Ovis aries: one gene and its partners. The protein of the gene in region 2 purifies or fractionates together with the protein of the main gene of each other region. This does not show direct contact. Links are inferred from orthologs where the notes say so. Each region holds a gene or a part of one and is shown on either strand. Other genes may lie near its edges.

Evidence for each region.
Region 1: the proteins of PTP4A2 (region 2) and CNNM4 purify together in Homo sapiens (affinity purification with mass spectrometry; 6 studies listed by BioGRID and IntAct, counting the BioPlex papers as one, with this or other methods). This does not show direct contact. The link is inferred for Ovis aries from reciprocal best matches to the Homo sapiens genes PTP4A2 and CNNM4.
Region 3: the proteins of PTP4A2 (region 2) and CNNM2 purify together in Homo sapiens (affinity purification with mass spectrometry; 4 studies listed by BioGRID and IntAct, counting the BioPlex papers as one, with this or other methods). This does not show direct contact. The link is inferred for Ovis aries from reciprocal best matches to the Homo sapiens genes PTP4A2 and CNNM2.

What each region holds. Positions count from the first base shown.
Region 1 is NC_056056.1:103,760,500-103,764,739, forward strand, and holds the start of CNNM4 (metal transporter CNNM4), read right to left. Parts: upstream 2,828-4,240; 5' UTR 2,732-2,827; coding exon 1,330-2,731; intron 1-1,329. UniProt on the Homo sapiens protein: Probable metal transporter. The interaction with the metal ion chaperone COX11 suggests that it may play a role in sensory neuron functions. May play a role in biomineralization and retinal function.
Region 2 is NC_056055.1:235,540,437-235,544,483, reverse strand, and holds the start of PTP4A2 (protein tyrosine phosphatase type IVA 2), read right to left. Parts: upstream 2,812-4,047; 5' UTR 2,420-2,811; intron 1,412-2,419; exon of another isoform or gene 1-1,411.
Region 3 is NC_056075.1:23,248,356-23,252,531, reverse strand, and holds the start of CNNM2 (metal transporter CNNM2), read right to left. Parts: upstream 2,828-4,176; 5' UTR 2,698-2,827; coding exon 1,080-2,697; exon of another isoform or gene 984-1,079; intron 1-983.

The DNA of each region.
Region 1 (4,240 bases), on a different chromosome or scaffold from region 2:
CCACTTTACAGGCTGTCTCCCACTCAAGCTTATGTAACTGGAGTTCTCTCCTCAGCTCCGATGCTGAGATTCAGTCTGTCAAACTGAAAAAGGGAAGGTACCCAGTCCCCACCCTGGCTCTAACCCCAGCATCCTGCCAGGCCAGCTCCTCCCTATCCTACTCTGTCACCCACTGATCCAGCCAGTTGAGGCTCTCCAGAACCGAGCAACAACGGGCTGCGGTCTTGGGGAGTGAAACAGAGCTCTGGGGTTTAGGTGACCTCCCTCATTCCTTTATAAAGAGCTCCCCTTTTGGTCTCCTCTCCGCCTTTGGCCGAGGAGGGTTTTGCTCCATAATTGGCTTGTTTACTGTCACTCGGAGTGGCAGAGGCAGGAGGAAAGTTTTGCTAGAAGTAAGGAAAGGGGTGTGTGCTCTGAGCGCTGAGGCTGCCGAGTAAACCCTCCAAGTGTCTAACAACCAAGAGCACGTGTGAGAAAAAAAACCACCAGGCCGACTGAAGATACCCAGCAGACCACAGGAGGGAAGCTTATGTGGGGCGCCTGGGAAAGATAGAATAACCAAAGCTTAATCTGCTCGCTTCTGCTGAACAGTCAAAAGCATTACTTGGCATTGCTCTCGGCAGGGAGCCAGTGAGTGCCCTCCCAACTTGGCTTCCGTGGGCCAGGCGCTCCAGTGACACCATTCTCGCTTGGCTCCAAAAACTTCCAGAGCTCCGAGAGCCCAGCAGACTGACTGCCCTGACTTTCAGGTTCTTCCCAAGGCAATGGGTGACTCGGTCTCTCCCCTACTGACCACTGATCAGCAGAGCCTGTACCCACAGGAAGGGAACCACTTGCTGAACCAGAAGCACATCGTCTGCTCCCCAACTCAGCTTCTCTGCTCAAGGGGTTCCCTCTGCCTCAAGGACCAAGTCTCCCCAGCTTTCAAGGATTTCCCCAAATGTTCCCTCCGCTGTGAAGGTTTTCCGGGTTCCCCAGCCCCTTCCCCACCCGACCCCAATAGGACCTGCTGGCTCCAGTACCACGCCCTAATCTCCCTGCCCAGGTGCTGGCCTCCTTGTAGACATTAGCCTCACTCCATCCTGCTCCCACACAGGCAAGTATGTCTTGCCCTGCTTGGATCCACCTGGGGCACAAAGCACACTTCCTGGCAGATGCTTAAGAGCTATTTCTGCTGGCCTGAGTGCCCATCTCTGCCGAGGCATGGGGAGTGCTGGGCACTTGGACAGAGTCACACGAACGGAACGCTAAGATCAGCAGACACAAGACAGGTCAGGATACTCGAGGTACCGCATAGAGGGATGCGGGAGCCGCATCCTGGGGCCTCACCCTTCTTGAACTCCTCCAGCATGGCATCCAGCTTGGTGTCGTGGAAGACGAAGTGCACTGGGTGGTTGTAGAAACGGGTGATGGTCTTGAGCGGGGTGCAGTCATCGGGATCCACGAAGGCCAAGTCCTTGACGTAGAGGATATCGACGATGTTGGACTGCTCGTCTTCAAACACAGGGATGCGGGTGTAGCCGCTTTCCATGATCTCTGACATGGTGTTGAAGTCCAGGATGGCATCGCTGCGGATCATGAAGCAGTCCTGCAGCTGGGTCATGATATCCTCCACGGTCTTGGTCCGCAGTTCCAAGGCCCCCTGGATCATGTTCAGCTCCTCTTTCACGAGGTCGTTGTAGGGCTCGGTCACCTTCAACATCTCCATCAGCTTCTCCCGATTGTAAACGGTGCGGATCTCCTGACCCAGGACGAAGTCCAGGAGCTTGCTGATGGGGTAACTGAGCGGGAAGGTGATCAGCATAAAGAATTTGGTGAGGATGATCGTGTTGGCACCCACGGCCAGCCCGTGTCGGGAGCACAGGGCCTGAGGCACGATCTCCCCGAAGATGACAATGCCAATGGTGGAGGAGGCCACAGCCACGATGCCGGACCCGATGAGGTTGTCTAGAAGGATGGTGAGGGAGGTGTTGACCAGCACGTTCCCCAGCAGCAGGGAGCAGAGCAAGTAGTTGCCCTTGCGACGGATGGGCTCGATCTTGCGGGCATAGCGCCGCTCCTTCTGAGTGCCACAGTTCTGCACAATGCGCAGCTCCATGGGGTCCAGGGCCATCAGCCCCAGATTGAGGCCGGAAAATATGCCCGACAGCCCCAGCAGCACCATAATGATGAGGATGTGCAGCCAGAGGGGCAGGAGCCTCCCAGGCTCCTCCACCATGAGGAGCAGCGAATCCTTGTCCGTCCACCTCTGCCAGGGCCCGTCCACGCCCGCCCGGGTGCACAGCGCATACAGTTTCATGTTCTCACTCCTCCGGAGGAACTTAGTGAGCACCACCAGCATCCCCGACGTGTCCCCGCGGCTCACGTTGACCAGCTTCTGGACGACCAGGTCCTTGGTGAGCTCGAGGCAGTCAGTGGAGTTGTGGAAGGTCTCAGCGTTGTCCACCTCAGTGAAGGAGATCAGGTTGCTAGAGAAGGAGTCCAGCCCCTGGCCGTACAGCCTCAGGTTCACCGTGCTGCCCTCGGACACGTAGATGATGCCATCCGTGTTTATCCCACACGATTTGTTGCAGTTCGTCAGCCTCATGCCCAGGATCGCGCTCCGCTGGGGGTCGCCCTGGCCACGGACCCCCGGCGCCCACAGCGGCACCAGCAGCACCAGCGCCGCCAGGAGGAGGCGCCCTCGGGCCGGCCCACTGCCGGGGCGCCCGCCCCCGCCCACCGGCGCCATGTTGCTCCGGCTCGGCAGCCGCCGCCGCTCCCCGCGCCCGCCGCGCAGCCCCGCTCGCGCCGCCGCTCCTGCCGCTCCGCCGCCGCTGAGCCAACTGTCCCGGCCGCGGGCCTGACGTCAGGTCAGCGCCCCATCTGCCCCGCCCCGCGACCCACGCCTCTCATTTGCATGGGAGGCTCCGCCCCTGGCGCGCGGCTCGCGCCCTCCCTTAAGGAAGTCCGGCATTTAAGGTGGCGTGGCGTGAGAGCGTGGGAGCAGCGGGAGGCTCTCCGCCCCGCCCTCCTCATCGCAAGCTTTTCCGCCCTCTTGGCGGGTCCTGCTCTCCTCCGCGCCGCTTTGCTCTGCCTATCGCACTGTCCGCTTCCGCAGCCTAGCCTGGCCTCGCTTGCTGGGCTCGTTCCTCTTCCCCAAAAAGCTGCAACGGAGGCGGTGACTCTTCTCTGTAAGAACCTCCGAAGCAGCACCACGTGGTGCTCGGGGCCAGAAAACTGCTTTTCCTGCTTTAAGAAAAGAAAAGGAGAACCCGAGAGCAGAGGCCTGAGGGAGGTCTTCACGTCCACAGACATTGTTCTGACCTCTGCACTCCTGGGGCTTTTGCCCACCTTGCCCAGAGGCCAGAAGTTGATCCCCCAGGACCAGGCCAGAGATCTCTGGGGCCAGTGGAGGGGAAGTCTGGGGGACCAGATGCAGGGAATGCAGATGGAAGGAGCATGGTCTTTCATTTCCCTTTAGGACACAAAGACTGAGCGCTCCGGTGCTGGGCACTTGTTCCAGGCTCAAACAATATAGCAGTGGATGAGCCAAAGATCCTGCCCCCTGGAGCTGGCAGTCTAGGATAGGAAACAGGCAACCAACAAACACATGCAAGGACTTCCCTGTTAGTCCAGTGGTTAAGAATTTGCCTGCTAGAGAAGCCCCTGTGCCGCAATGAAGACCCAATTCAGCTAAAAACATTTCTAATACAGAATATTTTTTAATCCTCCCAAACAACCGTAAGATATTTCCATATTACAGATGAAGAAATTGTGTCTAGGCACAAAGCAGGGCCCATCTAGACTGTTATCTTAAGAGCAGGCTTGTGTGACTTCAGTAAGACAAGTTGGAATGTCTCTAAGCCCCAGCTGCTTCTTCTGTAAAATGGGGGTAAGAATGATAACACAGGGACTTCTCTGGTGGTCCAATTGGTTAAGAGTCCACCTTCCAATGCAGGGAATGTGGGTTCGATCTCAGGTCCAGGGACTAAGATCTCACATGCCACAGGGCACCTAAGCCCGCAAAGCAACTGCAAGGAAGAGTGCACAAGCCACAACTAAGAACTGACGTAGCCAAATCAATAAATAAAAAGCAAGAAATGCTAACAGAGCACCACGTCACTAACCTTGTGGGAACAGCTGCCCTAGGCATGGGACAGGACAGGACGACTCTCTGAATGCTCTCTGACTATGCGGCTGTTATTGTTATTGTTGTTGTTGTTGTTATTGTTATTGTCTGCCCTTCCGGGACCAAACT
Region 2 (4,047 bases):
AGACATATCCCAGGTGCCTCATAAAAACTCTGTCTCAAAGCACACACCCTAAGGCCCCAAGTGAGTTCCAAGGCAGAATCTCCACCCACATAAAAGCCTATCCTAACTTAGGCCCCAAAGAGCCTCAAGTCAGCATCTCCTTAAAGATCTACTCGCCTCCAGCCTTCAGTCTTTTGCATTAACCTCAACACCTCTTACCTGCACAAGCTGCTAGGTCACTGTGTGGATGAGAAACTTCAAAGAGAGACAACCTAGCGTGAGGGAAGTTAATGGTATAGTGGAAAAAATCAAAGACTATGGAGTCAGACTGACCTGGGTTTTTAATCTAGCTCCCATTCTTATTATAAGTTCTGACCTGGGACAAGTTAATTAACCTCTTTGAGTCTCCATACTGTCTCATTTCATCACTGAAGTCAATGAGGGCTCATCACTGTATCCCTAAAGTCTGGCAAATAGAAACCATATGTGTCAAATGAATGCAAATGAGAACACCTACCACCTTTTAATAGTAGCTGTGAGAACTGAACAAGAGTATAAAAAGCACCTGGTACACAGTAGGCACTTAATACTAATTAATCCAGTCACCCACCAAATGATAACAATACTACTCACTGTTTCTCAAAGTAGAGAGCATGCTAATGATCAAGAAAAGGACACAGTAAGAAATTTATAATTTCTGACTTCTAATTATATACAAATGCTTTTGCTTGTAGTTCTATCACATTGAATACCAAAAGGACCACACTACACTTCCAACTTCTAAGAGACTTTTCATCATTTCAGTATAAAATCCGTATCAAGGCACTCTTCATCAAGAACCCCTACTTCCTTCTACAACACAAGAATCTGGAAAAGTCCATGGCAATGATTAGTCCATTCACCATACAACATGAGACTACTTTTAAAATGAATACCAGCAAGCAACTTTTCACCATCTTCACCAACACAATGATTACGCTGGCAAGTGATGATGAAGCCTTAATTTCCTTTTGCATGTGGACTAAGGCATAACTTCACTGACTTCCTGTCTGAAAGACTCTGTAACACAGAGCAATGGAGCCAGTAACTACCACATTTAATCCAGCAGTAGCTACAACTTGGTGACTCCACACAGAAAAGCATTTGCTGAATGCATACAATGATGCTACAACTGCTATTTTACACATTTCTTGAAAAATTCTAGAAAATAATAAACTATGCTATGATTGAGCTTCATCATCAACATGCTACACAATTATTACTATTATTTCTTAAAAGCTTCTCTCCAGAAGGGTAGCAAGGAGGTAAAACCTAAAACACATTTCTTATATATTTACCTAACAATAAAACACCTCTCACCTGAAAAACTAGCAGTACTTTACAACAGTCTATCTGAACACTCAAAAGGCAAGAGTCTAGGATCCCAGGCAATACACAAACTTGTTTTAGCTAGCTTTCAGAACCCAGACTAGGGTGGGATGCCAACCAATCATGTGCTCGACAAATTTGGAAATTGATGTCCATGTTCTGAAATATTGGGGGGGGGGGAGGAGGAGGCACAGGGCCAGAAAATGATATTGCCACTGGCATAGACTTCTGTACCCTTTGCTCATACTTGAACCCAAGGACCCAAGCACAAGATGCTCCTGGAAAGAACTCCCTAACCCAGGACACCCAGGCTCGCTACGGCCCTAGAAAACGATCAAGGATGGCCCCCAAGGATGCCTGCTCACAGACTGGACAATCGCAGGCAGACACTTCCACGCTCCCTCATCCGCCTGCCCTTCACCTTCTCCCCGAGCTCTGTCTCACTCTGCTCTCACGTTCTCCCGCCCATCACTCTACCCCTAGCACGCAAACTCTCCCTCCCCCACTTACTCACGCTCCCCATTTACCCCACTCTCCCACGCACAAGCATTCTCCCCCCACTCACTCGTTCCCACATGCTCCCCGCTCCCTCTCCCCTACACTCACCTCCCACCCTCCTGACACTGTACCCCCTACCGCCCCCTACTCACACTTCCCCTCACTCTCCTCTGCAAGCGAGCGCGCGCGCGCACACACACACACACACACAGCCCCCCAACTCCCCCATCTGCACTTTCTCCCTCGCCACGCTCTCCCCACATGCACACAGCCCTGTTCCCCAACTCACACTCTCGCCTTCACACACGCACATTCCCCCCCCCGCCCCACACTCCACATTCTTGCACACAGCACTCGCTCCTCTCCCCTCCCACACGCGCGATCCCCCCCTCCTCACCCACCCTCGCTCTCCACGCTTCCCGGCCGCGCTCCCCCCGCCCCCGGCCCCAGCCCGGCCCTTCTTCCGGGGACGTGTCTCGGGCCTGCACTAATGGCTGCGGCGCCTCCCGCCCTCCCCTGCCCCGAGGCCCCCGGGAGGCGGCGCGGGGGGCCGCCCGGGAGCCGCGCAACTCACGCTGGCGAGCTGGGGACTGGGCATTGAAGTCTGGCGGCGGCGGGAGCGAGGAGGCGCCTCTCTCCTCAGTCACCTCGGCGGCGGCGGCGGCGGCGGTAGCGGTGGCGGCGACGACTCCCCCCCAGCCTCGGCGCGCGACACCCGGCCCGGCCCGGCGGCGGCGGCGGCGCGTGTCCACGAGTCCGTCTTGCTGCTGCTGCTGCTGCTACGGCCGCCGCTGCGTCTCCGGCTGCTGCCGCTGTCCCCGCTGCCGCCACTGCCCTGTGGCCTCGCCTCGCCCCGTGACCGGCCGCCGCTGCCGCTCCAGCCGCTACCGGACGGACGACGGTTACAGCCCCGGCCGATCGCGCCGCCGCCACCACCACCGCTGCGCGCGCAGCCGGAACCAGCTCCCGCCGCCGCCCCTCAGGGGGCGCTGCGGGGCGCGGCGCGCGCGCGCGCGCCCGCCGGCCCGCCCTCCGCGCCCGCTGACTGGCTGGCGGGCCGGCTCGAGGCGGTGGGGCCCGCCCACCTGCCCCGCGGGGCGCTGACCCACTGCCCTGGGCACCTCCCCCGCTCCTCCTCGTGGTTCGTTCCGATCAGCACTTCTGGCTGCGGAAGGCGCGTCCATGTGACAGGGAACGGGGGGGCGGTGGGCAGAACCTGACCGGGGGAGTCATTCGCCCACGCCGTGGCCCGCCCATCCGCACCTGGGCTGAGCAAGGGCCGGAGGCCGCAGGGTGACCCTCAAGGTCGAAGGGTGTTTTCCCGTGACCGGGCCGTGAGGCCTGAGGCCAGACCCTGATGGGACGAGGCGGAGACCGAGCCCTTTGCTCGGGGATTTCCAACCCAGAAGTGAGAACCGGGGCAGCTTAGTTCTTGGCTGCCCTTTCTTGAGGCCCCAAATAAATGGCGTGTGCGTCTGCAATTGCTCAGGATATTTCTGCGTGCTACTACCCTCACTCCCCGCCCGCGACACAGACACGCGCGCGCGCAAACCTAGGAATCCGAGTAGGAGATCAAAATTCAAACTTCCGGGAGATAGCATCTTGGGCAAGTTATTTCCTATCTTCGTATTTTCAACTATTAAATGAAAATGATTATCAGCTACCCCCTGGGGCTCTTTTCATTATGTATGAAAAATGCGTGATAAAGAGGAGACCCTGAATTTAAAGACAGGGATTATTCTAGAGCTCTCAGTATTCTCTCTTGCGTTTAGAAGGTGGGCAGAAATTCTTTGTCGGACCATGAATTAGGAGTTTTGGTTTGGAAGATGTGGTCACCAGTGACTTGGGAGATTGGTCTGGGTCATTGCCAGATGGCAGCAGGAAAGAAGCACTGGAGGCTTACCCTTGAGAGCTGGAGAAAAGGGGCAAGGGGCTCTGTCCTCCTCCTTCACCCTGGGAAGCCTCATCTCAGAATTGTCATTCGGATGCTAAGTAGTGGCCTACTCTTTGCAATCCCATGAAATGCAATACGCCAGGCTTCCCTGTCCTTCACCATCTCCCATGAGTTTGCTCAAACTCATGTCCATTGAGTCAGTGATGCCCTCCCAACTATCTCATCCTCTGTGGTCCCCGTCTCCTTTTGTCTTCAGTCTTTCCTAGCATCAGGGTCTTTTCCAATGAATCCCCTCTTCACATCAGGTG
Region 3 (4,176 bases), on a different chromosome or scaffold from region 2:
GGAAACATTTTTAAAGTCAGAATTTCAGTGATAACAGTATGAGTTGCTGGTTCGTTACACGGTAAAACAAACAGAAAACACCACTATGCAAGAAAGGTGAGCACACCACCCTCTGTACTTCTCTTTCCTGGTAAAGCTCCCTGGAACAGTGAACAATGACTCGCAGACATATTTCCATTTAACATACCAGGTGATCAAGGTTAAAAAGAACACTTTTAAACCAGAAAGTCTCAAGAAATTGACAAACCATAGAGGAATTAATCCCATTGTTAAGATCCAAACTTTCTGCCAAAACCACACTTGGTTTGGGAAATTTTATTTGTTGTTAGGTAAATGTAAACAAACAGTGAAGAAAGCTAAGCAATATAGAGCCTCATAAAAGGTTAACTTATCTCTAGTCTTTCCGAGTTATATATTAACAAATAGCTTTAGTTTAAACAACAACAACAACAACAACAAAACATCTCTTTTCCAGCGAAGGCAAGTCAACTAAATGAGTGATTTTCTTTAGTGATACCTGGCTTATCCCATACCCTATTCTCAAAAGCAGGCCCTAATCTCTCCCACAGGTCACCAGACAACCAGGAACTGAAGCAACTGAAAATGCACTTCCAATCTCGGAAATATCAACTGATTGCTCTGGGTTTAGAAAAGCCATTTAAACGTTCTCCAAATGCCTGAGTTTAGTACATAGCAACCAAATGGCACAGCATGGCATCAACGGGTCCCTTTTTTCATCTACCCACTCAGAATCCCGCAATGAATGCAGCAGATTTCTCAAGGCCAGAGTGCAGGGGGTAAGAGTACCATGAAAATAGGAAGTACCAGAAAATAGGAAGCCTGCTTTGATAGGGAAGGAAGCAAGCCAGGGCAGTCTTGTGGTTTTAAAGAACCTAGAAGCGCTTACTAGTTCAATCCACCCTCAAATCCATGCCACCCTTTCAACTTTACAATTAAAAGAGAGGAGAAATTCCGGTCAACTCGCCTTGGGGGGTTGGTCTGAGGGTAGAGGACTCAAGTAGGGAGGAGGATGGAGTGAGAAAGAGCAAGCCAATGAAAGGATACCAAAATTTTCCCACCTTTCTTAAATTCTTCCAGCATAGCGTCCAACTTGGTGTCATTGAAAACAAAGTGCAAGGGGTGGTTATAAAATTTCGTGATGGTTTTCAGGGGAGTACAGTCATCTGGATCCACGAAGGCCAAGTCTTTGACGAAGAGGAGGTCCACGATGTTGGAGCGTTCCCCCTCAAATACTGGAATGCGAGTGTAGCCGCTCTCCATGATCTCCGACATGGTGTTGAAGTCCAGAATGGCTTCGCCGGTGATCATGAAACAGTCCCGGAGGGGAGTCATCACGTCCTCCACCGTCTTGGTGCGGAGCTCCAGCGCCCCTTGGATGATATTCAGCTCCTCCTTTACGAGGTCATTGTAGGGGTCTGTGACCCGGAGCATCTCCAGCAGCTTTTCCCGGTTATAGACGGTGCCTATCTCCTGGCCCAGAACGCAGTCCAGCAGCTTGCTGACCGGGTAAGAAGCGGGAAAGGTCATCATCATGAAAAACTTGGTGAGAAAGATTGTGTTGGCTCCCACAGCCAGGCCGTGCCGGGAGCAGATGGCCTGGGGCACGATCTCCCCGAAGATGACGATGCCGATGGTGGAGACCACCACCGCCACCAGGCCTGAGCCAGCGATGTCGTCGAGCAGGATGGTGAGCGTGGTGTTGACCAGCACGTTGCCCAGCAGCAGCGAGCACAGCAGGTAGTTGCCCTGCCTGCGCACGGGCTCGATGCGCTTGGCGTAATTCTTCTCCTTCTCGGTGCCGCAGTTCTGCACAATGCGCAGCTCCATCGGGTCTAGGGCCATGAGTCCAAGGTTGAGGCCGCTGAACATGCCCGACAGGCACAGGAGCAGCGAAATGAAGATCACCTGCAGCCAGAAGGGCAGCAGGAACTTCTTTTCCTCCCCCACGATCATCTTGGTATCCTCGCCATCGTGATAAATCCAGGTGGTCTCGGCCCACGGTGGCGGCGGGAGCCCGGCCACCCCGGAGCCGCCCTTGCCCCCGACGGCGCTACCCGCGGACCCCGAGCCGCCGGCGCCTAGGGCTGGCGTGGAGAGCGACGTGCACAGGTAATAGGACTTGCTCTTCTCCATCTTGCGCAGCGGTTTGATCTCTATCTCAATGATGCCCGATGTACGGCGGTTGAGAATGATATGGGGCAAGATGATGATATCTGATGTGCGGATGCCGCAGCGCTGGGGGCCGCTGTCCGGCTCCGGCGGCGCGGGGCCCCCCAGCCCGCGCTCGCCGGGGCTGTGGCGCCGCCGCTCGTGCTCTGTGAATGCAATGCGGGACCATGTCTCGTTGTTGATGTTCTGCCCGTACACCCGCAGCTTGACCCGGGTCCGTTCGCTCACCCGCAGCGCCCCCCCTTCCATGAACGACACGTCGTTTGTGTCCTCCAGCCGCAACCCGATGATCACCGTCTCTTCGTTCTCGCCCACCGCCGTGCAGCCGCCCGCGCCGCAGCAGCAGCTCAGCAGTAGCAACGGCAGCAGCCGCCCCGCCGCCTGCAGGAGCCCCCGGCCGCGGGCGCTGAGGCTGCGGCGCGCCGCCATCTTCCAAGAGGGCAGTGCGGCGGCTGCCTGCCCGCCCGCCATCTTTACTTCGGGTTCACAAGCGCCACAGCCAATCATAGGGTGGCTGCTCCAGCTGCGGCTTCATCCTTCTCAGCCGGCGGCGCGAGCGCAGGCATCGGCCCTGGGGCGAGATTGCAATGCAGTGTTCGAACCCACTGCTCAGCAATCCGCCTCCCTGACTGACACTGACTCGGCCTGGGCCAGCACCGAGACCTCGAGGCTAGCGGGAGGGGGGAGAGGGTGGGGGGAGTGCCAGCGGCTCCTGCGAGAGGCAGGCCGACCAGCCAATCACCAGCAGGTGCCCGCCTTCCCAGCCTTGGGGCTGGAATGGGGGCGTGGCCGTGAGCGGCGCCGCGAGCCAATGGCAAGATAAGTGGGTGGGGAGACGAGAGACAGCGTCCTCCTCTGCACTCTAAGTTTCCAACTGAAAGGCGCGTGACTCTTGTGTATGTGCGAGGGGAGGAGGTGTGGCCAGCCCGGGCCCAAGAGCCAGTCACAGATGACAGCCGTACGAAAAGGGGCGGAGCCCGCCGTCCCGGCTGCCAATGCATAGGGGCCTTCTGCGAGTCTGACGGCTCGGAGGGGCCTCGGTAGTACTCCTGTCCCTAGGGTGGCCCGCAGGACTGATGTTCTGTGGCCCGAGGCTGCCGGCTCTCGCCGGGCCACGCTGCCGGCTCCCGCGTGCTCAGTGCCCGTGCAGAGAGGGCTACACCTTCCTGACTCAAGGTGCACATTAGCCTAAAATGAAGCCGAGGTACCTGCTGCGCCCCGCTTCTTTACTCCAGCACTCCTCTCCGCTCGGGATGAGCGGTGGCTGGTGGGCCCCAACACCACACCTACGCGCTCCGCTGGAGCTGCTAGCTTATCCTTAAGGGACAGATGCCCTCTGCAGCTCACGGTCAGGTAGCGCCACCTGCCGGTAGCACGGGCTCCCTGCAATGCTTTCCAGGTATGCTGCAAACCCAAAAAGGTGTTCAGGAGGTGGGGCAGTTCCTCATCTTCCAAGTTATAAGAATCCCTTCAATTTCTTACTGAAAATATATATTCCCTGGCCCCATTCCATACTTACTGGATGGGTAGGACTCAAGAATCTATTCCTAGTAGGCACTTGGGCAAATCTGGGAAATGGGACAGGGCGGACATCCTAAGCAGATCCATAAAGGCTCATTCTTAAACACACTGACCAAACCCTGCTAGGTTCATTGGTGGCTCAGGAGAAAAAAAAATCTGAAGACCAAGGACTCCCAAGCCCCTCTGTATCTGGAGGAAACAGAGTAGCCAAACTGGTTTTTTTTCTTGGAACTTAAACATCCAAAAAATTATTTCCATTTTTTCTATGCTGTAAGCACATTTTCCTTTCTGTAAAATTTTTATTAATTTCTAATAAGATATAACTGCAAGGGCCTCCTCACTGTTCTATCCTCTTCTACACCTGTCCCCTTCCCTTCTCAACCCACCAGCCAGAGTAGTTTTGTTAAATAAGCCACTGTCCCTTCTTTGTTTGAAACCCTACTCTGGCTTTCCACTCATCACAGT